Danio rerio: one gene and its partners. The protein of the gene in region 2 purifies or fractionates together with the protein of the main gene of each other region. This does not show direct contact. Links are inferred from orthologs where the notes say so. Each region holds a gene or a part of one and is shown on either strand. Other genes may lie near its edges.

Region 1 (3,500 bases), on a different chromosome or scaffold from region 2:
TTTCAACAGAAGACAGAAACTCAAACAGGTTTGGAACAAGTTAAGAATAAGTAAAGGATGACAATTTTCATTTTTGGTGAACTATCTAATTTAATAAATGTGTCATTTACGTAAAAAAAACATGTATGGGTTTTTGCTTTTTAGATTTTGAAGATACTGTTTAGCTAACTAATATAACATGTATATGATATAAGAATTACAACATGTGACTAATCATAGTCACATTGATATTATGTCATTATAAAAAAAAACACTCCACTTTTTTTTCTAAATAGTCTCATTTTAAATCTCTACTAAAGTTAAACAGTTGAGTATAATATTTTTTTATCCATTTTGCCGATTTCAGACTCTGGCGAGAGCGCTTTTAGCTTAGCTTAGCATAAATCGGATTAGATCATTAGCATCATTTTTCTGTTTAAAACTTGGGTCTTCTATTGTTGCATCATGTACAAAGACTAAAAAAAATTAAAGTAGCTATTTTCTAGGTTAATAAGGCTAGGAAATATACTCTAATTCCAGCGTATTAATCAAAGAACTTTGCTGTCTTTAGTTCAATAATAAGGAAGATTTTAAACAGAATAATGTTTTTTTTTTTTAGTTTTCTTGCTTTGCAGTCCTATAGTATTTATCGCTCCTATGTTAGTAAATTACATCCAAAACTATTACAGTAAATAGTATAACTATGAATGCCTATAATCATTCCTTGATATTTTCAAATCATCCACAATCATGAGAATCCTGTTAATATCTCTGCCTACGCAAATAATTGTTTAGCTCACCTGGTAATAGTTGATGAGCTCCTCAAGTTCATCAGCATGAACGACAATATGTAATCCACACATCTGAGCCAGGCGAAACTCCTTCCCATCAACACAGGCAAAGCAAACCTACAAGGAGAGAACATTTCTATTATTAATATTCAACCTGAGTCAAGCATGCAGAATATTAGGAGAGCAATGCAAGGACAAATGTAAGTATCATCTCATGTATTGTCAGTAAAATCAATGTGTAATCAGACCTCTTTCCAGGTCCGTGTGCTGTTGGCTTTACGGGCCCCATCGACAGCTGCCTGATATTCCCCAAGATGCACTAGAGTGGAGGCCAGACGACCAAAGTTGGATACATTGTTATAAAGTAGTTTAGCTGCCTCGTACATCTTCTCATCATAGCATCGGTCACCAACCTACACAGAAGAAGCAAAACAGATGTAGATGATGCTTTATTTGTAATATTTAATAAGTTCAAAGTCTCCTTTAGTGTAATATTTACTTAATTTTCAAGAAATTTTTTCATTTAGTTTTTTTAAAAACTTTAAATAAATAAATATATACACGTATATACATACAGCACATACATATTTAAAAGCATTTAAAAAAATTACATAAATGAAAGCATAAATATAACCAAAAATATGCATCATTAAAAGGCTAAGCAGGCAACAATTAAAGCATCAAAAAAATAAAATAAAAAACGTTAATAAAGTCAAATAAAATATAAAAATATATTTTTTTTATTTCATTTAAATGATTATATATTAAATGAAATAAAAAATAAAATGATACTTGCTATAGTTGGCCTCATAATTTTTTAAAATACATTATCAAAAGTAAGAGACGCATACTTGTTGAATGTGTGCGTTGTTTGGCCCGTTGATAAACTCCTCCAGTTCAGCTAGACGGTTAGTCTTGGCCAGGGCAAAGATCAGCTCAGTCTCCACATATGATTCACGGGCCTTCTTACGAGCCATCTGCAAAAACTTGACCAAATCCTCCCAGTTTCCTGAAAACAAAACGTCATTAAGCTAACAACCAAACCATTTTCTGTATTTATGACCCCCCACACCTTTGGATGCTGTGGATATAGTCGTGAATCAGGGGACTGGTTCTTACCGCTTTGGGCTGCAGCTTGTCCCACTTCCATGTAGGCTGAAGGGTCATCAGCTTTGATGTAAGAGTCAATAGCCTCTTTCACCAGCCCCTTCTGCAGTTGTGCTTTAGCCAACTGACTCCACACAGCTGGCTCATTGCAGCGCTCGGCAAACTCATAAGCCCGGTCCAGATTCCCAATGTGCTCGATGAGAACCTGTGGTCAACACACACAATGATTTGAGCCCATAGAGAAACAACTCAAGCAGTACATGAACATAATTTAATAGAATATTTAGTTGTTATATTATATTAGTTTATCATATAAACTATTATAATAATGCACACAAAGTGGTTGTGTATATTAATTTCTAATAATACAATGAATTGGAGTCAATTATTCGAATTATACCACACCTGATAAAAATTGTATGAGCCTATTTTTTACATATCCATTTTAGGCTTTGAAGTAATTTGAAATAGCTGAAATTGTTTAGTTGTGGTCATATGAAAGTGAAATATCTTCCATGAAACTATACGCGCGCAGGCTGATAGGTCACCTAATCTGCTCCTGTGACATTAACTAGATGGTTACCGAGGAGACAGCAACCAATGAGCTTGCTCCTGATCAGTTTAAATGCTCCATGTCATTTTTTGCTGTTAAGCTGTGGTGCGTTTTCGGAGACCCTCCTCCGCCCCAGCTCCACCTGTGTTTAAATCTGCTATAGAGGTTAAATAAACATTATGTTTGCAGCAGCAGCATGTTGTATTCTCAGACAGCATGTCTGTATATATACTGGTAGTAGCAGGTCTCTGTACTTGCTCTGCCATAGAAATCAAAGCAGCAGCATTGTAGCAGATCTATACCACCAAAACCAAATACATCAACATTGCCATATACATATTCATTACCATACCAAATCCAGAGTGTTCATTGCAGAATTACAGTACTGTTAAGGCATGCCTAGTACTACTTTAGGGACCGATTATACCACCCTTTTCTGTTCTAAGAATGCAAGGCGCACTGCACTGCCTTTTTTTGTTGACAAGAAGTGTGGTGCATTTTTATGTCGCTTGTAAATGGTGAATCAGCTGTGTATTGAGCACAGGTGGTACTGTTGGAATTGTTAGTATTATAAAATTTAATAAAATTGTGATATTTAAGATTTGTGAAGTCTCACAGCTCTGGATAACTTAAAACAGTCACCACTAGTCTCTCCTCCATCATTCAAAGTTTCCGTAGTCCTCTTGACAACATAAACAATGACGTCACCTAAACAGAAACCCTACCTCTGCTTTCATTTAATTGGAGACTGAAAAAGACGCGACTGACGCAGTGCACTTTTCCCACTCAAAACACAACGCGCAGCAGGAAGTTAAAATGCTCACGGCTACTAGTAAACCTGTCAAAAAAGGCTCCTCTCAATGCAAAAAGCATGTTCGTTGTGGTCAAGACGTTACTTTTTATCTGAAAATCAGAATCAAGCAATTCAACAAGCCTGTAGTATGAAAAATGAGAACATGAACCGCACCTGCACTGCAGATGTGTTTACATCAAACTTCCTGAAGATGGCAAAAGCCTCCTCGAAGAGCTCATTGCTAATGGCGATGTTAGCGATGTCAGGGGCATCGTAG
Region 2 (3,500 bases):
TCACTTTCGCATTTCGAGATGTTCATAATATGTGCGTGTGCAGGCGCTCACAGGCTGTTTCATGGGCACACGCAAAGCTTGAAAGTAAACAAACAACGGCTTATCATAAGCATCTCATCGATGATCATTTATACAGTTGGCATTAAGAAGAACATATAAACGTGATCTGACTAACTTCTAGCAGCTAAATGTGTCTGGGAAAATATTCAAAGGCTTTTATTCTCATAAACCGCGCGGACGTAAATGCGTCTGACTGTTCTGATTGGCTAAAGCAGACGTCTTACGTCAGCACGTTCTAGACGTGCACACGCTTATTCCGGAAATCTTCCTTCTGCGTTCACACAGCGCAGCATTCCGGCAAATTGCCGGTAATGTTACAACTTCTCTTTCCGGAAAATAGCCAGAACGAATTTACCGGTATTTTCAAAAAGGACCTGTTCACACATACAACCTTTCCGGAAAATTGCCGGCAATTTTCCGGAAAGGTCTGTATGTGTGAAAGGGGCTATTATCTCTACCGAAACATGAAGAGGGGGTGGGACATAGTGTAGCAGCTCCTCTTTAAAAAAAAAAAAAAAAACGCCAATAGTGTTTTGCTTTATCACCACCCTGCCAGTTAGAGTGGTTGAGAACAAATGTATGCAAATGTGAAGCATCTTGAAGGGGGCTGACCATGTCAGTTGCTAGAGAGCATTTGATTGGTTAAGATTTGGTGATAAACTGAAGTATGAGGGGACTTGAATAAAATCGTTGATCCATTTAGATGGAAGAGACAAACTATCATTTTTTAAAATCTTCTAAACGTATATTTTGTCACTGTTTTGGTGCGCACTAGCTTATAGATATCTTAAAAACTAATAATACTGATTCTAACATGTAACTAACACTCATTTCAAAGTAACTTTAAATATAGTTTTTTTTTTTAGACTTTTCCATATGAATCAACCTTTACAACATCCTTTCTGCAGGAGGAATGCAGTGGACGCGTTTCGCGTAAACGTGATCCACGCGCGGCAGCAGGTTCGCTCACCTGTCACCAACATCGCCCGCACCAGCTTCTTCCATGTCAAGCGCTCTAACATCTGGCTGGCTGCCGTCACCAAGCAGAATGTCAATGCTGCCATGGTCTTCGAGTTCCTCTACAAGATGTGTGATGTCATGACCGCGTATTTCGGCAAGATCAGCGAGGAGAACATCAAGAACAACTTTGTATTGATCTACGAGCTCCTAGATGGTAGGATGACTCTCTTTTCCTTAAAATAAAAACAATTATCATTGCTTCATCATTCCCACAGCAAAGAGATATTTGTTAAAGAAATAAGTTGCATAACCAGAATATTTCACAGTTGAATTTTCTCTTCGCTCATGTGGCAGTTCCAGCCTTAAGCTCTCCCACAGCTGCTGTGCTGTTGTTTTTTTAGGTTTTGATTTTTGTGAAATGTCGATGAGAAAATCAAAACCTAAAGAAAATACTGCGCAGATAGATGGACATCACCTCTGCCTTCTGAGATAGAAGAAGCTTTTTACTACAGTGTTGGAGTCCCAAAACACACACTTGCCACAAATTATCAGTAAGGGGCGTGTCATGAGACTAGATGACTAAAAGGGGCGTGTTTATTGTGTTGCTTTCAACATTGCTTGGCAAAACTCACTTAGTGGAATATTAATACACTGTTTTGACACTACAACGTAAGCTATGAAAAAAATATACAGCACTGTTTTAAACCGAAAATCTCTTGTGATACTTGTGATGTTTAATTACATGGACTGATGATCTTTTTTTTACATGACAAGTTTTGATTTACTTACACTTTTTAACGGACTGTACAGTAAGTAATAATTATAACATATTTTCTGGGCTCTATTTTAACTATCTAGGCGCAAAGTCTAAAGCGCAGGCGCAAAAGCATTAGAGGCAAGTCCAAATCCACGTTTGCTATTTTATGGACTGAAAAATACGGTTTTATGGGTGTGTTTTGAGCATAACATGCATTAAATTAATCAGAGTCGCATCTCAAATTCTCTTTAAGAGTCAGTTGCGTTGCACCATGACACATTTGCTATTTACATGGCGGACTCTGTAAGTTGAAAAACTGAACGCTTCACTATCCAAAAAAGAATTAAACAGACCATCTGCAGCCCGATGATAAAGAATGAGCCTCCTCCATTCGACCTCTTAATTTTTACTCTTTACTTTACTTCTTTACTTTCGTTGATAAGGAAACGGTGAAAACTCACTCCACTAAAGACATCCATTGGCCTACATATTTAATTTAGTTTAAGCGCAAAGATTTGTTTTAAAACCATTTCTAAGATCAGTTTTAATTTCCAGCAAAGGAATAAATGAACAACAATAATAGTGCAGTGTGGTCAAAAAAACTAAGTTATATCCAAACACACGTTCTGTGCTTGTGCCCCATATGGTGACGCAGACGTCTCCAAAACCCCACAAGTGGACAAATCTAAACTATTTTTTATTAAAACATATATAAATATGCATATAATAAATAATGCTACTACTAATAATAGAATTTTACAAATGCACCAAAGGCATGGAGGCAGTGTTTTTTATATTTATGTAGAAAGTAATATTTGTAACATTTTAATACTTAAATTCTTTTTTAGATGTAAAGATATTTGTGTATTGCTGTACATCCTGTGTGTATTAAGCGCTTGTACCTGCATAGGCCCATAACTAACACGATCTGCGCTGGACTTTAGACCAGTTTTTAGTTGGTCAATGGCACGGCCTATTTCAGTTTCTCAAAATAGCAAAGCGCCAACAATGCGCCTTAACACACCTCTTTTTTTAGACCAGCACACCCATTACTCCACAAAGTGGAGCAGATGGATTTGCAATTTAAACAACGTGCTGCAAAATGTGAAAATTACTGTTGCTCTGGTCTGAAAATAGCAACAAATCGTGCCATACACGTATTGCGCCAGCTGTATAATAGGGCCCTCTATATGAATTTCAGCTAAATGATGATTTTATAGTATTTAAAATGGTGCAATACTATTTTAAGAATTTATTGTTTTTACCATGAATTCAGAACATGAACATTTTGCAACATCATTTAATTACATATATATATATATATATATATATATATATATATATTATTTATTTATTTATTTATTTATATATATATATATATATATATATATATATATATATATATATATATATATATATATATATATATATATATATATATATTTATATATATATATATATATATATATATATATATATATATATATATATATATATATATATTAATATATATATATATTTATATATATATATATATATATATATTTATATATATATATATATATATATGGTTGAGATTTTTACTTGCCCTGCCAAAATTTTCACCGGCCCCACCAAAATAAAACTAAAAAGTTATTAGCTATTTCTTAGCCACATATTTTAAATAGTGGCAAAATTATGCCTGTGAATCAAGAATTTAAACATTTTAAATATGTTAATAAAT
Region 3 (3,500 bases), on a different chromosome or scaffold from region 2:
GGATGGTCAACAGTGTATTTACAAATGTAATTACAAAAGTTAATTACATAAGTAATTACATACATGTATTTAATAAAGCATAAGTACACAGTAAATACAAGTATTTACACAATAAGTACATTGTAACAAACATATTATTTCATATTTCATATTGTTACTAATTAATTCCTGTGTAAGTACATATCAGTTAAGACCACTTAATATAAAGTGAGACCCATTGTCATTATCTCAGAGAATGTTTTCATCCTAATCAATATATTAATATTTTAAAAAAATGTTCTAAAATATGTTTTTATTTGAGTAAAATATTTTTTTAAAATTGCTATATTTACTGTTATTTATTACATGTTTTTTAAACAATTTGTGCTATAATTGTAAGCTATGCCTTTGAATTATTTTGTAATCATAATGAATAAATTTATGATTAAAATATTATTTATAAATGCTGTATTTACTGTTATTTAATGCACATTTGCTTGTTTGTTTTAAACAAAAATGTTAAATAAATGTAAACAATGCATTTTAATTGTGTTGTAATCACAGTGTGCCTTCTGACTTTTGATTTTGCAGTTAATAAAGTCATTGCTTCTGATATGGCATTATGTACACTACCTGACAAAAGTGTTGTTGCCTATTCAAGTTTTTAGGAACAACAAATTGTAACTCGACTTCTAGTTGATCATTTGGTGTCAGAAGTGGCTTATATAAAAGGCAAAGGCCTCTAGATTACACTTATTTTACCAAAATAAAATATGAACATGTCTTGATTTTCAATTATTTATTTAGGACAGTAAGGTCTGACTTTGCGTAGTCAAAATTCTTGTCACTTACTGCAACAGAAATAATGTACAGTATATAATATAAAGTCATGGTGCAGTTGAAGAAGAATTAATATTGTGTATGACTCCCATGAGCTTTGAGGACTGCATCCATACATCTTTGCAATGACTCAAATAACTTATTAATAAAGTCATTTGGAACGACGAAGAAAGCTTTCTTGCAGGAAAGGGTAAAGTATGAGAGAGCGCTATCCTGCTGAAGAATTTGCCCTCTCCTGTGGTTTGTAATGTAATGGGCAGCAAAAATGTTTTGATACAGTACCTCAGGCTGTTGCCATCCACTCTGCAGATCTTTCGAATGCCCCCATATTGAATGTAACCCTAAACCATGATTTTTCCTTCACCAAACTTGACTGATTTCTGTGAGAATCTTTGGTTCACGTGTGTTCCAATAGGTCTTTTGCAGTATTTGTGATGATTGGAGTACAGTTCAACAGATGATTCATTGCAAAAATTGACCTTCTGCCACTTTTCCAAATGATCAACTACATATCAAGTTATTATTTGTTGATCTTACAACTGGGATCAGCAACAAAACTTTTGTCCGACAGTGGAAATAAATAAATCAATTTATATTACAGTTTAGATGTTCATTATCTCTTCTTCCTGTGTATTAGGTCGGAGTGCGTTCATTGGTGTTGGATTTGCAGACAGAGGTGATGCTTTTGACTTCAATGTTGCCCTGCAGGATCATTTCAAGTGAGATTCTTTCAAAAAGCATGCACGCATTCATAATTGGAAATGATTTTGTACTTGTAGTAACACCTTAAATGGTTAAAAAGCTATTTTATCATGTCCAGTTTTTGATTCTGTTGAAATATTTTGATATTTTCATATTAAGGTGGGTGAAACAGGAGAATGAAATCAGCAAAAATTCTCAGGCTGCAGACTCAGGACCCAAACTGGACTTAGGCTTTAAAGAAGGACAGACCATCACACTGAATATCGGGGTAAAACAAAACGGCTAAAAATTCCTTTTTACAATCATGTTATTATTTTAATGCCCACATATTAGAGAACAGGTTTCAAACTCAATTCCTGGAGCGATGCAGCTCTGTATAGTTTTGCTCCAACCATAATCAAACACAGCTGATCCAACTAATCAAGTTGTTCAAGACTTATAGAGACTATTAAGCAGGTGTGAGTTGGAGGTGGTTGGAGCTAAACTATGCAGAGCTGTGGCCCTCCAGGAACTGAGTTTGAGACCACTGTATTAGAGAAATGTTTCTGTGTGCAGCAAGGTAAAAAGAGGGACAAGCCCCGCCCCCAGAGCTCAGGAGGCCTGGGGCTCCTCCCTCCACCTCCAGGAGGAAAGATTGCCCCGCCTCCTTTGTCTAATCACAACACAGTCCAGCCAACAGGAGGAGCACAGACAGGTTAGACCTCATCACTGCTTGTAGATGAATATATTGATGCGTTTTCACAGATTAGTCTTGCAAGTTGCAACTAGATGTTGATATCTTAATTGATCTTTTTTTGTCTGATCTCACTTTCTCTCCCTAATTTTAGCATGTTTATTAGAACTGGACAGCAGTAATTCTAATACGGTGGTTCAGTCCAACCCCAGCTCTGACCTATGGGGAGACTTCTCTAGCTCTGCAAGGTAACATCATTACTGTTGTTGATTCTTCACCAGTGAATATGTTCCTTTATTCAGAAGTTTATTTGCTAATAACTAAACAATTTCTTAAAATTAAGATTTTTAAGATTTTAAGAAAACAACATTTTTTTTCAATATTGTATCTTAATGTCTGTATTGCAAGATATAACGAATTGGGTTTTTATTTCATTCTGAGTTTATATCTTGCAAATTCTGTCTCTAAACTCATATTTTTTTGGTAATAGAATATTTTAACCCTTGTGTGCTGTTGGGGATGTTTTCATCCACTCTGGGGTGATTTTGAGTATAAATTTAGCCACATCTTTCTCTGTTTCTCAGAAAATGGAATGATTTTTGATTGACAAATCTTATTTTGACACGTTTTGGGAAAATGCTTGGGAAATGTTATTGTATGTGTATTGTTAAAAGACTCAACAATACACTATGGGCAAATCTAATAACTTTTTTTATATGTTAGTGGCTGTTTTTGCCCCATTGAATTCCTCTATGTGAAGTTTATTCATAAACTAATTTCGAGAGGATCACGTGCTTATGTTTGACACGGCTGGCTCCGAGTCTAGCTAATGTACGAACCACCAATCAGACTATTCCTAACCCAGTATAAATAACCAAACATCTTACCTTTAGTCATCTTCGGCTTGAAGAATCCCCCCTTCCACCCCTTCTCCTCCTCTTTTCTACAGAGCAGCACGCCGGCCCAGTGGCTAGCACTGCGGCCTCACAGCAAAAAATGTGGGGTGGTTCTCGAGATCTACCCGAGCTCAAACTCCCCTCTCCCCCTGCAGCGGGGAGGGAGCTCCGGGCTCGAGGCTCTCATGAGCTCGGGGCTCTCTCCGGGGACCGCATGCCAAACTAGCTTATTACTAATCATCAGTTAAGTGTGAACTCTTGAAAACACCAAATAATCATGCATTCTTGATTGTTGGTGGTTTTAAATATTGAAAGGAGGTACGACTTGTTATTTTTACAGTTGATTATCAGTTGCAGTGCAAAAAAAGCTTAGTTTATGGCTTTTATGAAGTGTTTGTTTGTGTTTGTGT
Region 4 (4,220 bases), on a different chromosome or scaffold from region 2:
TTTAAAATGTATTGCCTAACTGAACTAATATGTGTGACGTACAAGCAGAAATGGTAGCAAATTAGTTTAGGGTTAGAAGGTTGCATTTTCATCATTAAGCTGTGGTCACACTAGAGTTTGTGTGTAAAATTCTGTTGTACGTCGCTGCGACAAGAGGCGGGATTAAACAAGATGATTAGACCTTAAAAAAAAGCGAATGATTGCTCCATGTTTTAAATTTCTGTCCAGAGAGGTCATGTTTTGATCCTTGATTGGTCTCACGCAGTCAAGTGATGCGATTTCGCAAATCAGAGTTCACCAAGCTTGAACTTTGCACCTCAGCGAACTGCGAAACTTGACGCATGACCCTGTATTTCCGGTCTGACGCATTCGCGTGTGTATGAAAGGAAGTCTATGGGGAGAAAAGTCAAGTGTGGCCGCAGCTTTACACCATGGAACTTTTGCAGCCAAAATCAATACATTTCGAAATGCATTCTGAGCCAAAGGTAGATCAGCAGTTTCTGAAATACTCCGAGCAGCCCGTCTGGCACCAACAACCATGCCACATTCAAAGTCACTTAAATCACCTTTCTTCCCCATTCTGATGCTCGGTTTGAACTGCAGCAGATCATCTTGAGCATGTCTACTTGCATAAATGCATTGAGTTGCTGCCCTGTGATTGGCTGATTAGAAATGTGCATTAATGAGCAGTTTGACAGGTGTACCTAATAAAGTGGCCGGTGAGTTTATAGTTAATTTTAATGCTTAAGTTGCAAAATTAAAAAGAAAAATGTAGCATACTAGAAGAAATGGTATCAAAATTATAGTTTAGAAGGAGTAGGATCGAATGTTCATCATTACACCGTTGGATCTGGAATGTTTTCATTGTGTATCTTTATTTCGATGTATATTTTAAAATGCATTCAGAGCCAATGGGATGGCAAAAAGACGGTGAGTTAAATGTATATTGGTTGCAATGACACTCATGATTAAGATGTTTTTAAAATATACATTTTCAATTGCTACCATTTCTGCTTGCGCACAGTAATTCAATTTGCCATTACATTTTTCATTTAATTATGCAATTTGTGTAGCATTAAAAATAACAGGTGCTTTACCAAACTGTGTTTGGAAATAGCAAGTGTAAATGACATGACTGAAATATTTATTCTGCACGTCTTGCTCATTTAAATACTCTTAATATATTGCATCTGACATTTCAAGATGAATTCTGCTTCCACAGATCAGCAGTAATACCTCTATTCTCTCCTGGACGTCCTGCAGCTGTTCTGCAGTGGTGCCCTCATCGGCTGGCTCTGTGTGCGAGCCGTTCACCCCGTCTGGGTCTTGATTCAGAGGCTGATAATAATATCCAGCGCTGTCCTGATCTCCAGCACCTCCTTCATCCTCCTCCTCCTCCATGTCCTCTCCGCTCCACTCCTCCGGCACGGCAGCGTCTAAAGGCCGGTCCTGCACCACATCCTCCTCGGAGTTCGGTAAGATTCTCTCGGGACCCATTTCTCGGGCCCTCGCCACTTCCATTCAAGGGCTGCGAACAGACACAATATTGAGACATAAGAAAATTCTTATCGTAGTTTAATGTGCTTAACATCGACCAAACTTTCAAAGCTTGTAATTATTATCAAAAAACTAGCCGCTAATTCACAAAGTGTATAACATCCAGTGATCTATAAAGAATGGCTATTAGTAATGATTCTTATATAGTAGTTTCATGAGTTTCTTCTGTTGAACATAAAAGAAGATATTTAGAAAAATGCTGAAAACCTGTGGCCATTGACTTAGTATTTGTTTTTCCTACTATGGAAGTCTGGTTACAGGTTTCTAACAGTTTTCAAAGTAACTTCTTCTGTGGTTAAGAGAAAATAGAGAGTCTTAAAGGTTGGAGAGCCACTTGAGGAAGAGTAAACAATGAGTCAAGTTTCATTTTTGAGTGAACTCTCACTTTAATGTGGCTCGAGTTAACTCAACAACCAGCAGTGGTGGAAAGAGTACTGAAAAATCATAAGTAAAAGTACCATTACTTGCCTAAAAATGTAGTGAGAGTTGAGTAAAAGTAGATGTTGTAAATATTACTCAAAGTATGAGTAAAAAGTAGCCCTTTCAAAAGTTCATATGAGTAGTGAGCATTACGCTGTGAAAAGCTGATGTGTTTACATGTAATTTGTGGTTGTGTGTAAACGTAACATTCTGTAGTCCATATTGTAGTTGATAGTCATTGGCTGCTAACGTTAATATGATTACCATATTTAGATTTAGCAAAAAAATACTTTTCTGAAAGGAAAAAGTCTGAATAAGCGAATATAAAACCAACTTGAAGCTATTTTCAATAGACTTCTATGAAGGAGAAAAGACTTAATGCGCTGTTATACACTTTATCTGTGGACTCTGCAGTAGTTAGCGTTAATTACAGTAACGTTTGACAGAAATGTTGGTTGCTCTGATGTTTTCGCGCATTAAACGTTTTAGTTTTAACAATTATATTAAATTAATATTTTAGGAAATGTACTGGTAGATGTTAAAACACTGAGGTGTTAGGAAAAAGTGTGCATGTGCAATTTAACATCAACCTGTTAAGGTATGCTTATGCTATAACATCATGCTAGCCTAAACACATTTCATATCATTTCAGGGTTTTGACACACGAATGCGTCTTTTTAGCATTACGAATACAATTAAAAGCAAACTATAAGATAATCTCTGGCTGTTTCCTCTTACCTCTTGATTCTTTCGAGCTCTTTTATTCGTTTGTTTTCAGCTGATGCATCTGTATCCGAGAAGAATCTATTTGTTTCCGGTGTTGCGCAGTGATTGCGTCACGAAACGTCAACACGCCAAGCGACGTATCTTGCGTAAATTAAAATACTCGATTTTTTTATGCTTTTTGACAGTTTGTTTAAAATTGTGACTACCTCATGTGAATGTGCAATATATAATGCATATAATTATGCATTAACATATCATGAGTTTATGATGGTTTAATTAGGCACAAACTGATGCATTAATTACCAAACAAGCATGTACTTGTAATTAAGGTAGTCATTATTCACACATGAACTCAGGTTGTAGTTAAAGTTAGTTCATGAGTAGCACATTCATTAACTCATCATTAGTTCATAATAAAGTAATGTTTAGTTTACATTATTGCATCATTCATGTACTGTCAATGTAAAGTGTTACTTTAAAAAAAATTATATTTTTATATTCATGATATCAGAAAGCTTTATTACTGTAAGGCAAGACAAGGCAAGTTTAATTATATAGCACATTTCATACACAGTGGCAATTCAAAGTGCTTTACATAAACAAGCATAAAAAAGACAAGTTTAATAAAAAACAAACAATAGAAATAATTAAAAACAGAATAAAATGTGTTAAAACAGGTTATATACTGTATGCACTTTGTTCTGCAGTAAAATAAGTCATGAATACATCTTTTAGGTGATTTTTTTTATTAAATAGTTAATATTCCGTCTATATATTGTATAGTAATAGAGGGCATATATGAATAAGTAACTAGCAATGATTATAAAAGCTTTCTCAGGAAATAGAAAAATAACTGCATAATAAATGTATTTTAATTTAATATAGCTTTATTTCTATGTGCACGTGGCGTATTATTGTTGTTGTGATTGATGTGATTCTTACAGTGAGCTAATGAACGAACAAATAAATGAATGTAATGTTGAATGAAGCAATTGTTGTTATGTAGCCGTCATTTGTTTAATTTTTTCTACATTTAAACAGTCGTTTTGTGTTATTTTCCCTTTTTCTGTGTATATTTTTGTACATTTGACAAACTAAGACATAAATAACCTAAAATAAACAATACATTTTAATTATGTTTTCTTTTTATGTTTTTTTCCTTCTCTAGTTAAAGAGATTTACGAAGAGGAGTAATTATTTTTTAATAAATTCTAACGTCATGAAGTGTTGTAATATACAAGCGGCCGCACGGTGGCGCTTTTCTTCGTGTGTCTGTGTACATATGCGTGTTTGCGCGGGAAATGACCTGCAGTTTATCTGAACTTCCCGTGAATGCTGTGCTGCTGAGAAAAGCACGCTTGTATCACAGAAGAAAGACGAGGACTCCTGCAAATTATGAACATATACTTTTGCGGAAGCATTCGGGGAGGGCGACAGGACGTGGTTATTTATCAGACAATAGTGAAGAAGTTGCAGCAGTATGGCAATGTTTTAACCGAGCATGTGAGTTATGACAG
Region 5 (3,500 bases), on a different chromosome or scaffold from region 2:
AGTGTTGTGTAAGCATTATCTAAATAAGTATTACATTGATATAAAAATAAATGTAAACTAATGCCATTTACCACATATACTTAGACTTTACATGAAACATTAGGTCCTGGTCTTAAGTGTCCTGGAAAAGTCCTGGAATTTTAGTCGTAAAAATGTGTTTCAACCCTAAAAGCCAAAAAGGACTTCTTGTAAATTAGTTGTTGCTGTAATATTTTGTGTTAATATTAAACTGTTTATTACATTAAATTGTATATTGTAATTTATGTAATAATTAATTCAAACTAATTTGCTGATTGTTTCACAACAAATTGGACAAAATTATTTAGAGCAAACTTTATATATGGAACCTGTTTACAAGGCGGTGATGCTTTTACTCGTCATCAGCATCTTTATTCCTTCAAAGATTTTAATACGTTAATTTTTTTAAATGTATTTTTAATAAAATGCATTTACATTTATAAAGCTATAATTTGTATTATATAATCCGTGGATCAGATTACCACTTATGCTGGGTGTTTGTAATGCAGCGTCAATGGGCAGGACAGTAAATTAAACATAGTGTTTTTTTCCTGATTGCCATTACCAATCTCACACAATTTTTCTTTTTTATTGTTGGGAAAATTGTTAAAACACCATTGTGGATTTTTATGATTATTATTATTATTATTATTATTATTTAATCAAATAGAAATACAAAAAATTGTGGTACTTTCCCATTCATTGTGCTCTAAGTTTGCCCAGCTGTGACAATTTTCGCTTCTGAGATACCCGGAAATATAAAAAAGGGTTTCTAAATAACTAATAGTTTTAAATAACTACTATTTTAAGTAGTTATTTATATAACTACTATATTAAGATGTATAAGCAATAATGCCTATCCGAGTAGCTGGTAAGCTGGGGTCACTTGGAGTTCCAAATATACCTATTAAGAAACAGGGCAATAATGTCTCCCCTAGGGCCTCATTGATGGATTTAAAAATCAATGTCCAATAATTTTTTAAAGAAGGGCAAGACCAAAGCATAAGTGTCAAATCAGCTGGAGAAAACAAACATCTATCACAAGACGCATCTAATCCAGGTTACATTCCTGCCAACCGTGCCTTGCTTAAATGTAACACTTTAACACTTTATAAGCCCGAACCTAACAGAGGATGATGATGCATGAACATTTCTGAGTGCCTCCTCCAAAAAAAGTCTCTGATAATTTTAAGTTCGTCTTTCCATCTAGATTTAATTTTATCCACATTATATTCTTTCAGAGATATGAGTTTAGCGTATAATGTGGAGATCAATCCTTTATTAAAAAAATTAAGAGTAAGATTATAGAGTTATTAAAACTATTAAAACCGGTTTTCATCTTCACTGGCAAAAATATGACATAAAATCATAATAACAAATGTTTTTGTGTTACTTTACTTAATTTAACAAGTTAATCAGGTCTCAACTAAATTTGTTTAGCATACAAAACGTAATTAATGTAATGTCATTAGTCAATCTGACCAATTTAAGTTGAGATGACTAGAAAAGTAAGGGCATTCGCCACATAAAGCATATGCCAGAGTAATTGGTGGTTCATTCCGTAGTGGCAACACCTAATAAATTAAGGGCTAAGCTGAAGGAGAGTGACTAGAAATGTTCAATTGATTCAACTAAAGATTTAAGTGTATGTAGGCATTGCAATGCGCACTTTTGCATGCTGTTTTGAATGCGTTTTAGACTTTCTGATCCTAATCTCCCATGCAGTTTTGCATTACATTTTCATATGTAAATTTGTATACCAAAGGAAAAAAAAGAGTACTATTTCACTTTTGTTTCACAATTTTCACTCGAATGGATAAAAATGAGCACTCAATGTAGTTCACTGAGTATACTGATCTCAGATCTGCTTTCTGCTTTTTCCCCACTTGTCTGTGTTTGTGTGCGTGTTCAGATCCAGTCGTTGCAGGTGCAGCACTCTGAGCAGGAGCAGAGAATCAGTGACTATGAGGAGGAGTTGACCAGAGCCAGAGAAGAGCTGCTCCATCTGCAGGAGGAGACGCGTCAGCTGGGAGAGAAGGTTCAGTCTGCTCGAGCTCAACTCTGCCCTCTAGAGGATGCCGTCAAAGAATCCCACACGCAGATTGTTCAGGTTTGTCAGCTTTTGATCCGTTTCTTAGTTTTCGGTATTTGTTAACAGTAGCGGTTCTAGTTTAAATGGCACCCTGGGCGAACCTCCAGTTTTTAACTGGAAAACAATTTAGACACAACTGGAGTGATATACCAAGATAACTTAACGGTAAACTCTTTTAAAGGTAACTCTTTTGCATTTTTGTTGTCATTTTTTTTATTTGTGTTACATTTCTTGACACTGATTTAATTTATATATATATATATATATATATATATATATACATATATACATTTATTTATTTTACCCTCAGTTTAATGTGTATTTATTTTGTATATTATTATTATTATTAAAGATCTATTAAATAATAAAATTATGGATTATCATAGGAGGAAGAAAGTAGAAAACATTATTATTACACCATGGTCTTTGTTTTCAGTTTTCTATACTACTACTACTACTACTACTACTAATAATAATAATAATAATAATAATAGTGGTACCTGTTGTTATTTTTGTTATTAATATTATTATTGTTGTTGTTAATAATAATAATAATAATATAACACGATTATTAGAGAAACCCAAAAAAGAAATTCCAGTCCATGATGAAAATGTTTACTATTATTATAGTCAGACCTTGATGTCAGTCTAAAAATTTCTCTAATAATATTAATAATAATTGTGTTGTTGTTATTGTTATTATAAAAAAAACATGCCATCCTCCTATTTCTGCTTTTTAATTATTTGCAACTGGGTTTGGTCTGATTTTTATTCCCATTCCTAAAAGCACACACTACTTGTCTCGCTTTAATGTCTGTTTCACATAATATATTGCTTTTTGTTCCCTCATAGGAACAGGAGCGTTTGTCTGAGCTTAAAATGGAGGAGAGAGAGGTGACTGCACGGCTTACTTGGAAAATCCTGGAGGAGCCGGTACTAGTCAACGGAGCGGCGCCCTCCATTGAGCATCCAGAGCCATTGCAGTGGCCTCAACCTACAGCACAGCCACCAGAGACAACCAAAGAAGACAAAGTGCAGGATGAAGAGGAGCAGTCATCCACAGATGAGCCACAAGAGCTTAAGGTCACAGAGGAGGAGCCTGGGTCTGAGGCCGAGGAGCCGTCCAGCAGCCCAGAGCAACAGGAGAGCAAACCTGAACTCTACAGCTATGATCTTTACAACAGTGCCTTCTCCACCATCAGCTCCACCTCTGTCAACTGGCCTCAGGGGAACACGGTCAGAAACCGCTTCCTGTTATTGCATAATTAGTATGTCACTTGCGCATTACTTAACAAATAGGTTCTCATACATCGGTCTGTTTATGCCTCTCTTGTTATAGGAAAACACAACACAAGAGGCAGAGGTGGATGAGGAGAGGGAAAACACAGAA
Region 6 (4,059 bases), on a different chromosome or scaffold from region 2:
ATTAACACGCACACCTGGGGGAAACATTTGTAATAATTATTTTTGTAGTATAATTTCTATGCAAGAAAAAAAAATTCACAGAATAACTTATGTAATAATCATTTATTATTTTATCTTAGGCTTAGCTAGTCCCTTATTAATCAGGGGTCGCCATAGCGGAATGAACCGCCAGCTATTCTGGCATATGAATTTTATGCAGCAGATGCCCTTCTAGCCGCAACCCATTACTGGGATTAGTTGGTGGTTCATTCTGCTGTGGCGACCTCTGAATAATAAAGGAACTAAGCCAAAAAGAAAATTAATGAATTATAGGACTTTGTGACCTGGACGCCCTTCAAAATTGTTTTACAATTTACACATTAGATTGTTGAAATTAATAAAAAAAAACTTAACATCATTAGAAATTTAGAAGCTCCAGTAATTTTAATATTCCTGTGTTTTGCTTTTACTTCAGTTTTTAAATAAATGACAAATTAAAATAAAATAAAACTTAAATCTTGATGTAAGCCATTTTATCTTATAGTGAACCTGATTTTTTCTTACTTTAGAAAATCATCTGGAAATTTACTGAGGCCTTTAGTGGGCCCCAAACACAAAAGAAGATATTCTGAAGAAAGCTGGAAACTGGTAACCGTTGACTTCCATAGTACTTGTTTGTTTTTTTATACTATGGAACTCAATGGTTACCGAATTTCAGCATTCTTCAAAATATCTTGTTTTAAGTTCAGCAAAAAATAAAATAAAATAATAATAATAAAATAAATAAAAAGGGTTTAGAACCAAGTGAAGGCAAGAAAATAATGAGTAAATGTTTATTTTTGGCCAAACTATCCCTTTAAGATTCTACTGTATGCAGTAAACAGAAGCGCTATCGGGTTATTATGCATTTTGACAACCTTTCTAAGGATATCTTTTAAATTTGTTTTTGTTCTTTTTTTTCTCTTTTTGTTTATTGCTAATGCCACATTTATTTATTTATTTATTTATCTTGTTTTCACGTTTTAGGTATTATTATTTTTGTATTAATTACATTTTTATTAATTATTATTATTATCTTGTAAAAGATATAAAAGTGCTATTATTTGCATTATTTTTTATTAATTATTATATTTTTATGAATTATTATTATTATTTTCTTGTAAGAGATATATAAGTGCTATGGGTTAATTTGGGCCGCAGAGCGCCCTCTATGTGCAGTAAACAGGCAGACTCGGACGCCCCAATGACGTCCGCACGTTTCATTTTCCCCCTTTTACTTCACTACTAGCGAAGCTGCACAGAGGAAACGAGGAGCCACACAAGCAGCAGCCAAATAACGCCTGGAATTTACCTCGAGCGTCAAAAAAGGACAGAAGAGCCTCCGCCTGTCACCTCATGCCCCTTTAGTTGATTCCCTCGCAGAGTGCTGGAGTCATAATGGAAACTGAATGATGAGGTAAGAAGACTGTTTTTGAGCTCAGGCCGATTGTCCTTTTTATGACAGTGACTGCGGGAGGAGGAGGAGGAGGAATCTGTAGGATTTCAGGGCGCGCTTCGTCTCCATACACTAGCATATGCTCTGCAACGGTCACTCCAACGGTCATTTCCATTCAGAAACCGCATCAATAAGTACAATAGTCATTTATTCATAAAAACAGGCCTCTGTAAGCTCCCCTTCTCCACGCCGAGATTGCAGCTAACGTTAAACCTCTGCTCTGATTTACTGGTTTAGTTAGCAGTCTTGCTAACGGCTGCTGGTATGTTTTTATCAGTGACAGCAGCTCAAAAACTGCACCTCTGTGGTAAAACACATGGATATAGTGGATTATTAGGACCTCGAGAGGGCTGAGGACATGTGTGTTACATGTAGGATGTAGAAAGAGTGAGTTTGGTCAGTGAAGACCACCAGCTCATCTTCTCACATGGCTGCAGGTCTCATCTGTAGCACTTGCATATGGAGATGCTCAAGTGTGCATGATGATGACGACTCCATCTTTTCTCCAGTGCACATGTGTGTTTGTGTGTATGCATACTAGCCAGGAGAAACATGGGTTATTATCCTGTGATTATGTCTGGTGATTAAGGCTCAGATCCTGTAGTGCAGTCTGGCAGTGGATTTGGGTGCTTTGTCTTTAAGCCACAGTCCTGTATAGTATGTAAACACTGTCAGATTGGAGGGTGGTTTACGAGATCTTATGAGCTGTGCAGCTGGAGACTTTCCCTCAGGTCAGGCTGGTCTTAAACCTGTTCAGCTCCTGGTTTATACACGCGTTCCTTGATCACAGGACTTAAGCGGTAGACTTGAAATGTGACCTCACAAACTGATCTAAGGTTAGATTTTTGGTTGCTAGGATGTACCCGGGTATTCAAATATGACAGGCCCAAGTGCTGTAGAAGTGCAACCAACGTTGATCAAAATTTTAAGCACTATTGAAGAATGTTTTGTGTTTGTAATTGTGTTTAAAGTTTTTATAATATTCAAATGTAAATCTAACATTGTTAATATTAAAATGAAATATGTCTAAACATTACCCAGACTGTCATAGTCACTCTAATGTAAATGAGAAAGCATATCTGCATATTATTATCAGGCTTTTATTGAGGCATGCCAATTTATATTTGTAGATGTATGAATTCATTTACAAATATCAATTGACAGGCCTCCAAAAAGGAAACTTATTTATTAGAGTCTTCAAACAACCAATGAAATAAATAACATTTGGCAGAATAATGGAATTTTATTAGAGGGCCTGAAATTTTTTCTATGCAACCGCAAAATATATTTGGGAGCATTTGTGCGAGTGCATAAAATTGTTATCGTGCTACCAGTTTTCACAGCAAAAAAACACCAAACGCAGCGCTCGGGAATGGTTTAAAATAGTTGACATGTCAACTTGCTGCAGGAAACAAAGCCCCCATTGCTTGTCCCACCTTCAAGCTCTTCTTATTGGCCCACTGCGTTAGAACATAAGGCGATTAGATTGGTTAACATCAGCTCTTAATTACTCAGTTTCGATGACATCGAGATCCAGCCGCGAAAATGTAAAGGTCTGGATACGAGAGAATGAAAACAACACTGACAGATGTGGTTTTAGAAACCACCTAAAGTTACAAATAATGGCACATCTGATTAGTGATCATGTAATGAATGTCAATCCAGCATTTACACTTTTCGACGAGTGGATAAAAGACTTCCAGTGGTTAAAGTCCGCTATGAAAATGACTAAAGCATTCACTGTAGAGCCGGTGGGACTGAGTTTTCAGGGAACAGTCATAATTTGACTCACAATTTTTGGTGGGTGCAACTAAATTTTGTCTGATGGGCCTACATTTTTGAAGTTAGGAGTACCGGTGCTACCAAGGAAAAAGGTTAATTTCGAGCCCTGTATTGGTTGATTTGCTTTTTGAAGTTATTTAAGTAGGGGTTTAAAAGGCAGAAAGTAACTATGTGTCTGTAATGTGGAAATGTCAGTTTGAGGATTTTGGAAATATAAATTGCATTTTTATAAAATCTATTTTCACTGAATCAAATCTAGAATAAGATTAAGAATGGAATGAGATCAAAATAGGAGATTGGGAATCAGAATTGAATCAAATTGGTACATTTAAATTGATACCAAGCTCTACTTTAAATATAGAACACACAACTACTCCACTTTCCTGCAAACAGTGCAAATTACAAAAACTTATGATGATGATGATGATAATCAAAATCAAGTCTTGATTTGACCATAAACAAACATCACACATTTCAGGGTAAGACATGTCAGACGAGAGGTAGCGTTGAAGAGTAAATAAGATACATTTTGGAAAAGGATATTATACATCATATTACATGCACAGGCATAATAATTGCCAAACTCTTAATAATTTTAACAAAACGAGAGGAATTCTTATAAAAATTGCATGTTTTATTTGATACTGTGCTGAATAATCCATTTTATGTAACGAATGTTAACATCTTTGATACTCTTTTAGGTGAAACTGCATATTCAGGATGGTTCTAAATAAAAACAGGCATGTAGTTTATATAAGACCTCTTATTTATGTTTAACTTAAATTCTGCATATGATATGGAAA
Region 7 (3,500 bases), on a different chromosome or scaffold from region 2:
CTAGTATTTATGTGTATGTACATGTCTGAAAATTAAAATAAATGTTTTTTTTTGTTTTTTTTTTTACAAAACACTGGTAACACTTGTTATTAATTAGAAGCAATTTGCTCATCTTCTCTTGCATTCCACTTTCTAGTCATACTAGTGTGATCATACACACGCTTGTCTGATCACACCAGTGTGATTATATGCGATAAAGGGATAATATCGCACAGCTGCTTGCCTTACAAAGTGCTTAACTTCTTTTGGTCCCCCTAAAATCACAGGTGTCAAAGCCAGTTCCTGGAGGGCCGCAGCTCTGCACAGTTTAGTTCCAACCCTAATTAAACACACTTGATCAAACTAATTGAGTCCTTCAGGCTTGTTTGAAACTTACAGGTAAGTGTGTTGAAGCAGGGTTAGAACTAAACTGTGCAGGGTTGCGGCCCTCCAGAAATTGGCTTTGACTCCTGTGGCCTAAATGAAGAACTTAAACATCTTAAAGGCCATGATATATCAGGAAGTTTTATGTTAAGCATTACAGTTCTTACCACATCTAACGGAGTTTCACTCGCAATCTAATGAAGAGAAAAGAAACAATCAGCTGAAAATATTTACAAATTATGTGAATTACCGAATTATGTGGTTTTAAGTTCACCAGTAACTTACCAACTCCAGACACAGACGGTGTCCATACGCAGAGGCGTAATGCACTGCATTGTAGCCCTGATTGTCTCGGATCCCTGGGTTAGCATCATTCCTCAGCAAATATTCCAGGCACCTAGTTAGGGAAAGAGAAAGACTGGTAACTACTAGAAAGACATGTCTGTGAAATTAAATCTGAGATTTTCAAAATGAGAGACTCATTATGTTCTCTTGAATGGATTTTGGGCTTGGTTTTTAAGGGTATACTCACACTATGTACAGTTGCTTTTGAACCGTGCCGAAGCACGCTTGTAATGATTAATCAATCCATAGGAAACAGTCCCTTAAAAGTTACATTTCGTGATCAGTTTCAGGCTCAGGGGCGATTTGCAATTACACTAAAATTGTACCGCGCCACAGCCCAAGTGAACAGCTTTCTGGTACAACTCTTCCAGCCAGGGCAGGGCCGGCTAACTGCACCGTGCCTGAGCCAGATTTAGAACACTCACACTTCTCAAATGAATGATCCGGGAAACGTGCCTGGGCAAGGTACAATTAGCATAGTGCGCCCTAAGAGTAGGTGGTGCTTTAGGCTAGTTTAACAGTTTTACAGTGCCATCAGCTGTTGATTCAATCGACTCATAAAGGAAAATAGTGAAGAATTTAAAAAAAATCTAGAATTGACTTCTTAAACACTTTAGTAAATACATTTCTTAGAATGTCACCATTTCCACTTGTTTGCAACATGGTAACTTACTTTCCATCGGCGTCAGAAGCAGCGGCATAATGGAGGGGGGTGCAGCCCCTCTTGTCAAGCTCATTGACGTTGGCTCCTGAGCCCACCAAAGCAAACAGGCACTGGTAGTTGCAGTTTGCAGCTGCGTAGTGCAAAGGTGTCCTGCAGAACAGATTGTTAATGTTTGCCTTGTAAAAAATATCACTAGGTTGTTAGAATAATGTTTGGCTATAGTAATGTACTAGTAAACAAACCTTCCAAAGCTGTCCTTCCTGTTGAAATCTGCCCCCGTGTTGAGGAGAAGATTCAAACATTCAAGGTTCCTGTAAGGAAACAGGTTTTTGGTAAGCTGTTAAAGTTCTCTCACACACACAAAACACACACATGCACGCACGCACGCACACAGTTGAAGTCAGAATTATAAGCCCCCTTTTGACTTTTTTTCTTTTTAAATATTTCCCATATGATGTTTAACAGATTCAGGAAATTTTCAAAGTATGTCTGATAATATTTTGTCTTCTGGAGAAATCCTTATTTGTTTTATTTCAGCAAGAAGCAAGATTTCTGCAAAAAGTCTTTAATTTTTTAAAAACCATTTTAGGGTCAAAGTACTAGCCCTTTTAAGCTATTTATTTTTTCGCTAGTCTACAGAACAAACCATCGTTATACAATAACTTGCCAAATTACTCTAACCTGCCTAGTTAACCTACTTAGGCCTTTAAATGTCAATTTAAGCTGTATAGAAGTGTCTTGAAAAATATCTAGTAAAATATTATTTACTGTCATCATGGCAAAGAAAAAATAAATCAGTTATTAGAAATGAGTTAATAAAACTATTATGTTTAGAAATGTGTTGAAAAAATCTTCCCTCCGTTAAACAGAAATTGGGGAAAAAACATACAAGGAGCCAAAAAATTCTGGGGGGCTAATAATTGGCCTATAGGGGGCTATATAATTTTATTATATATATATATATATATATATATATATATATATATATATATATATATATATATATATATATATATATATATATATATATATATAAATAAAACAATCAAATTAAAAAGAACCTTACCCGCCGGCAGCAGCAGCATGTAAACAGGTCCTTCCAAAGTCATCAGGGGTGTCTATATCAAAGCCTGGAGGACAGAAACATGCTCAGTTTACTGTTTTAGAGAAATGAAGCAGACAACCATACAGCAATATTAGATGTAATCCGTACACGAAAAATGTAATGACTATTAGCAGTGATGCAGCTTACCAGAAGACAGCAGCTTACGGCAGCAGTCCGAGAAGCCGCTGAGAGCAGCCAAATGCAGTGGAAACATGCCATGAACTCCTCTCCTAAGAAAAAAAAAAGCAAGTGTTACATATAAATTTACAGGTCTACATGTCTGCATATGATCAGTTACAACTAAAAAAGCACCAATGTCCCAGCCAGGAATTGGACATTTTTATCCAAAAATGCTATTGGGAGGCAGCTGTTTTTTGTTTCGAGCTATTGATTGGTGTTTCATGTGCATATTGAGTTTGCAGAAAAAAGCCGGAAGCGCTAGCATTTACAGCGAAAAAATGACATCCGATGTGGTACAGAGTTATTGTATTAGAGATAAGTTATAATGATTACATAATTTTGTTATTTACATAATACTTTCAGCATTTTATTACAGCTTGTCACCTAGTGATAAGCAGTTACTTGGCAAGATTAACATTAAAGTGAGCTGTGTTCGTCTGACAGGTCCATTTGAGATAGCACCCTGCCAATGGATATTGGATAAGACGAAATGGCCAAGCATCCAGCCCGAAATATACAACTCTCTTATTGAAACTCCAAGTGTTTTTACAAGAGAAATGTTAAAGGTCTACAAGTCTTTTATGCCTACAATTTTGTTCTATGTGGTTATGTGCAAGAAATAATGTTCCATGACTCCAAGATTCAAAACTTTGTAGTGCTAAAAACCGAGGTTCTGCCTAGCCAAAGACAAGGAAAGAAGATGGAACTGTACAAGGCCTGGGTAATCATCAACAAGAAAACAACTGCATTCTGACATAAAACTGCACCTGTACAGCAGGGTATGTGAACCTACATTTTTACATTTCATTCTAAGCATTCTGTGTCCGCAGTTTAATTAACAAT

Evidence for each region.
Region 1: the proteins of ap2m1b (region 2) and cltcb purify together in Homo sapiens (affinity purification with mass spectrometry; 3 studies listed by BioGRID and IntAct, with this or other methods). This does not show direct contact. The link is inferred for Danio rerio from reciprocal best matches to the Homo sapiens genes AP2M1 and CLTC.
Region 3: the proteins of ap2m1b (region 2) and necap1 purify together in Homo sapiens (affinity purification with mass spectrometry; 3 studies listed by BioGRID and IntAct, counting the BioPlex papers as one, with this or other methods). This does not show direct contact. The link is inferred for Danio rerio from reciprocal best matches to the Homo sapiens genes AP2M1 and NECAP1.
Region 4: the proteins of ap2m1b (region 2) and mea1 purify together in Homo sapiens (affinity purification with mass spectrometry; 3 studies listed by BioGRID and IntAct, counting the BioPlex papers as one, with this or other methods). This does not show direct contact. The link is inferred for Danio rerio from reciprocal best matches to the Homo sapiens genes AP2M1 and MEA1.
Region 5: the proteins of ap2m1b (region 2) and eps15 purify together in Homo sapiens (affinity purification with mass spectrometry; 4 studies listed by BioGRID and IntAct, counting the BioPlex papers as one, with this or other methods). This does not show direct contact. The link is inferred for Danio rerio from reciprocal best matches to the Homo sapiens genes AP2M1 and EPS15.
Region 6: the proteins of ap2m1b (region 2) and itsn1 purify together in Homo sapiens (affinity purification with mass spectrometry; 3 studies listed by BioGRID and IntAct, counting the BioPlex papers as one, with this or other methods). This does not show direct contact. The link is inferred for Danio rerio from reciprocal best matches to the Homo sapiens genes AP2M1 and ITSN1.
Region 7: the proteins of ap2m1b (region 2) and ankrd28b purify together in Homo sapiens (affinity purification with mass spectrometry; 3 studies listed by BioGRID and IntAct, counting the BioPlex papers as one, with this or other methods). This does not show direct contact. The link is inferred for Danio rerio from reciprocal best matches to the Homo sapiens genes AP2M1 and ANKRD28.

Annotation. Positions count from the first base shown.
Region 1 is NC_133190.1:19,748,630-19,752,129, reverse strand, and holds part of cltcb (clathrin heavy chain 1), read right to left. Parts: coding exon 3,398-3,500; intron 2,083-3,397; coding exon 1,890-2,082; intron 1,780-1,889; coding exon 1,622-1,779; intron 1,184-1,621; coding exon 1,019-1,183; intron 888-1,018; coding exon 780-887; intron 1-779. UniProt on the Homo sapiens protein: Clathrin is the major protein of the polyhedral coat of coated pits and vesicles. Two different adapter protein complexes link the clathrin lattice either to the plasma membrane or to the trans-Golgi network.
Region 2 is NC_133193.1:48,960,589-48,964,088, forward strand, and holds part of ap2m1b (AP-2 complex subunit mu-B), read left to right. Parts: intron 1-968; coding exon 969-1,234; intron 1,235-1,392; exon of another isoform or gene 1,393-1,488; intron 1,489-3,500.
Region 3 is NC_133194.1:11,499,014-11,502,513, forward strand, and holds part of necap1 (adaptin ear-binding coat-associated protein 1), read left to right. Parts: intron 1-1,456; coding exon 1,457-1,538; intron 1,539-1,680; coding exon 1,681-1,789; intron 1,790-2,076; coding exon 2,077-2,215; intron 2,216-2,348; coding exon 2,349-2,442; intron 2,443-3,500. UniProt on the Homo sapiens protein: Involved in endocytosis.
Region 4 is NC_133188.1:4,157,818-4,162,037, reverse strand, and holds the start of mea1 (male-enhanced antigen 1), read right to left. Parts: upstream 2,801-4,220; 5' UTR 2,716-2,800; intron 1,529-2,715; 5' UTR 1,522-1,528; coding exon 1,237-1,521; intron 1-1,236. Other genes in the region: dnph1 (5-hydroxymethyl-dUMP N-hydrolase), read left to right, coding at 4,099-4,220. UniProt on the Homo sapiens protein: May play an important role in spermatogenesis and/or testis development.
Region 5 is NC_133183.1:18,308,567-18,312,066, reverse strand, and holds part of eps15 (epidermal growth factor receptor substrate 15), read left to right. Parts: intron 1-1,930; coding exon 1,931-2,128; intron 2,129-2,962; coding exon 2,963-3,346; intron 3,347-3,449; coding exon 3,450-3,500. UniProt on the Homo sapiens protein: Involved in cell growth regulation. May be involved in the regulation of mitogenic signals and control of cell proliferation. Involved in the internalization of ligand-inducible receptors of the receptor tyrosine kinase (RTK) type, in particular EGFR.
Region 6 is NC_133176.1:50,394,224-50,398,282, reverse strand, and holds the start of itsn1 (intersectin-1), read left to right. Parts: upstream 1-1,259; 5' UTR 1,260-1,435; intron 1,436-4,059. UniProt on the Homo sapiens protein: Adapter protein that provides a link between the endocytic membrane traffic and the actin assembly machinery. Acts as a guanine nucleotide exchange factor (GEF) for CDC42, and thereby stimulates actin nucleation mediated by WASL and the ARP2/3 complex.
Region 7 is NC_133191.1:21,480,489-21,483,988, reverse strand, and holds part of ankrd28b (serine/threonine-protein phosphatase 6 regulatory ankyrin repeat subunit A), read right to left. Parts: intron 2,708-3,500; coding exon 2,625-2,707; intron 2,503-2,624; coding exon 2,439-2,502; intron 1,684-2,438; coding exon 1,615-1,683; intron 1,523-1,614; coding exon 1,382-1,522; intron 761-1,381; coding exon 649-760; intron 558-648; coding exon 531-557; intron 1-530. UniProt on the Homo sapiens protein: Regulatory subunit of protein phosphatase 6 (PP6) that may be involved in the recognition of phosphoprotein substrates. Involved in the PP6-mediated dephosphorylation of NFKBIE opposing its degradation in response to TNF-alpha.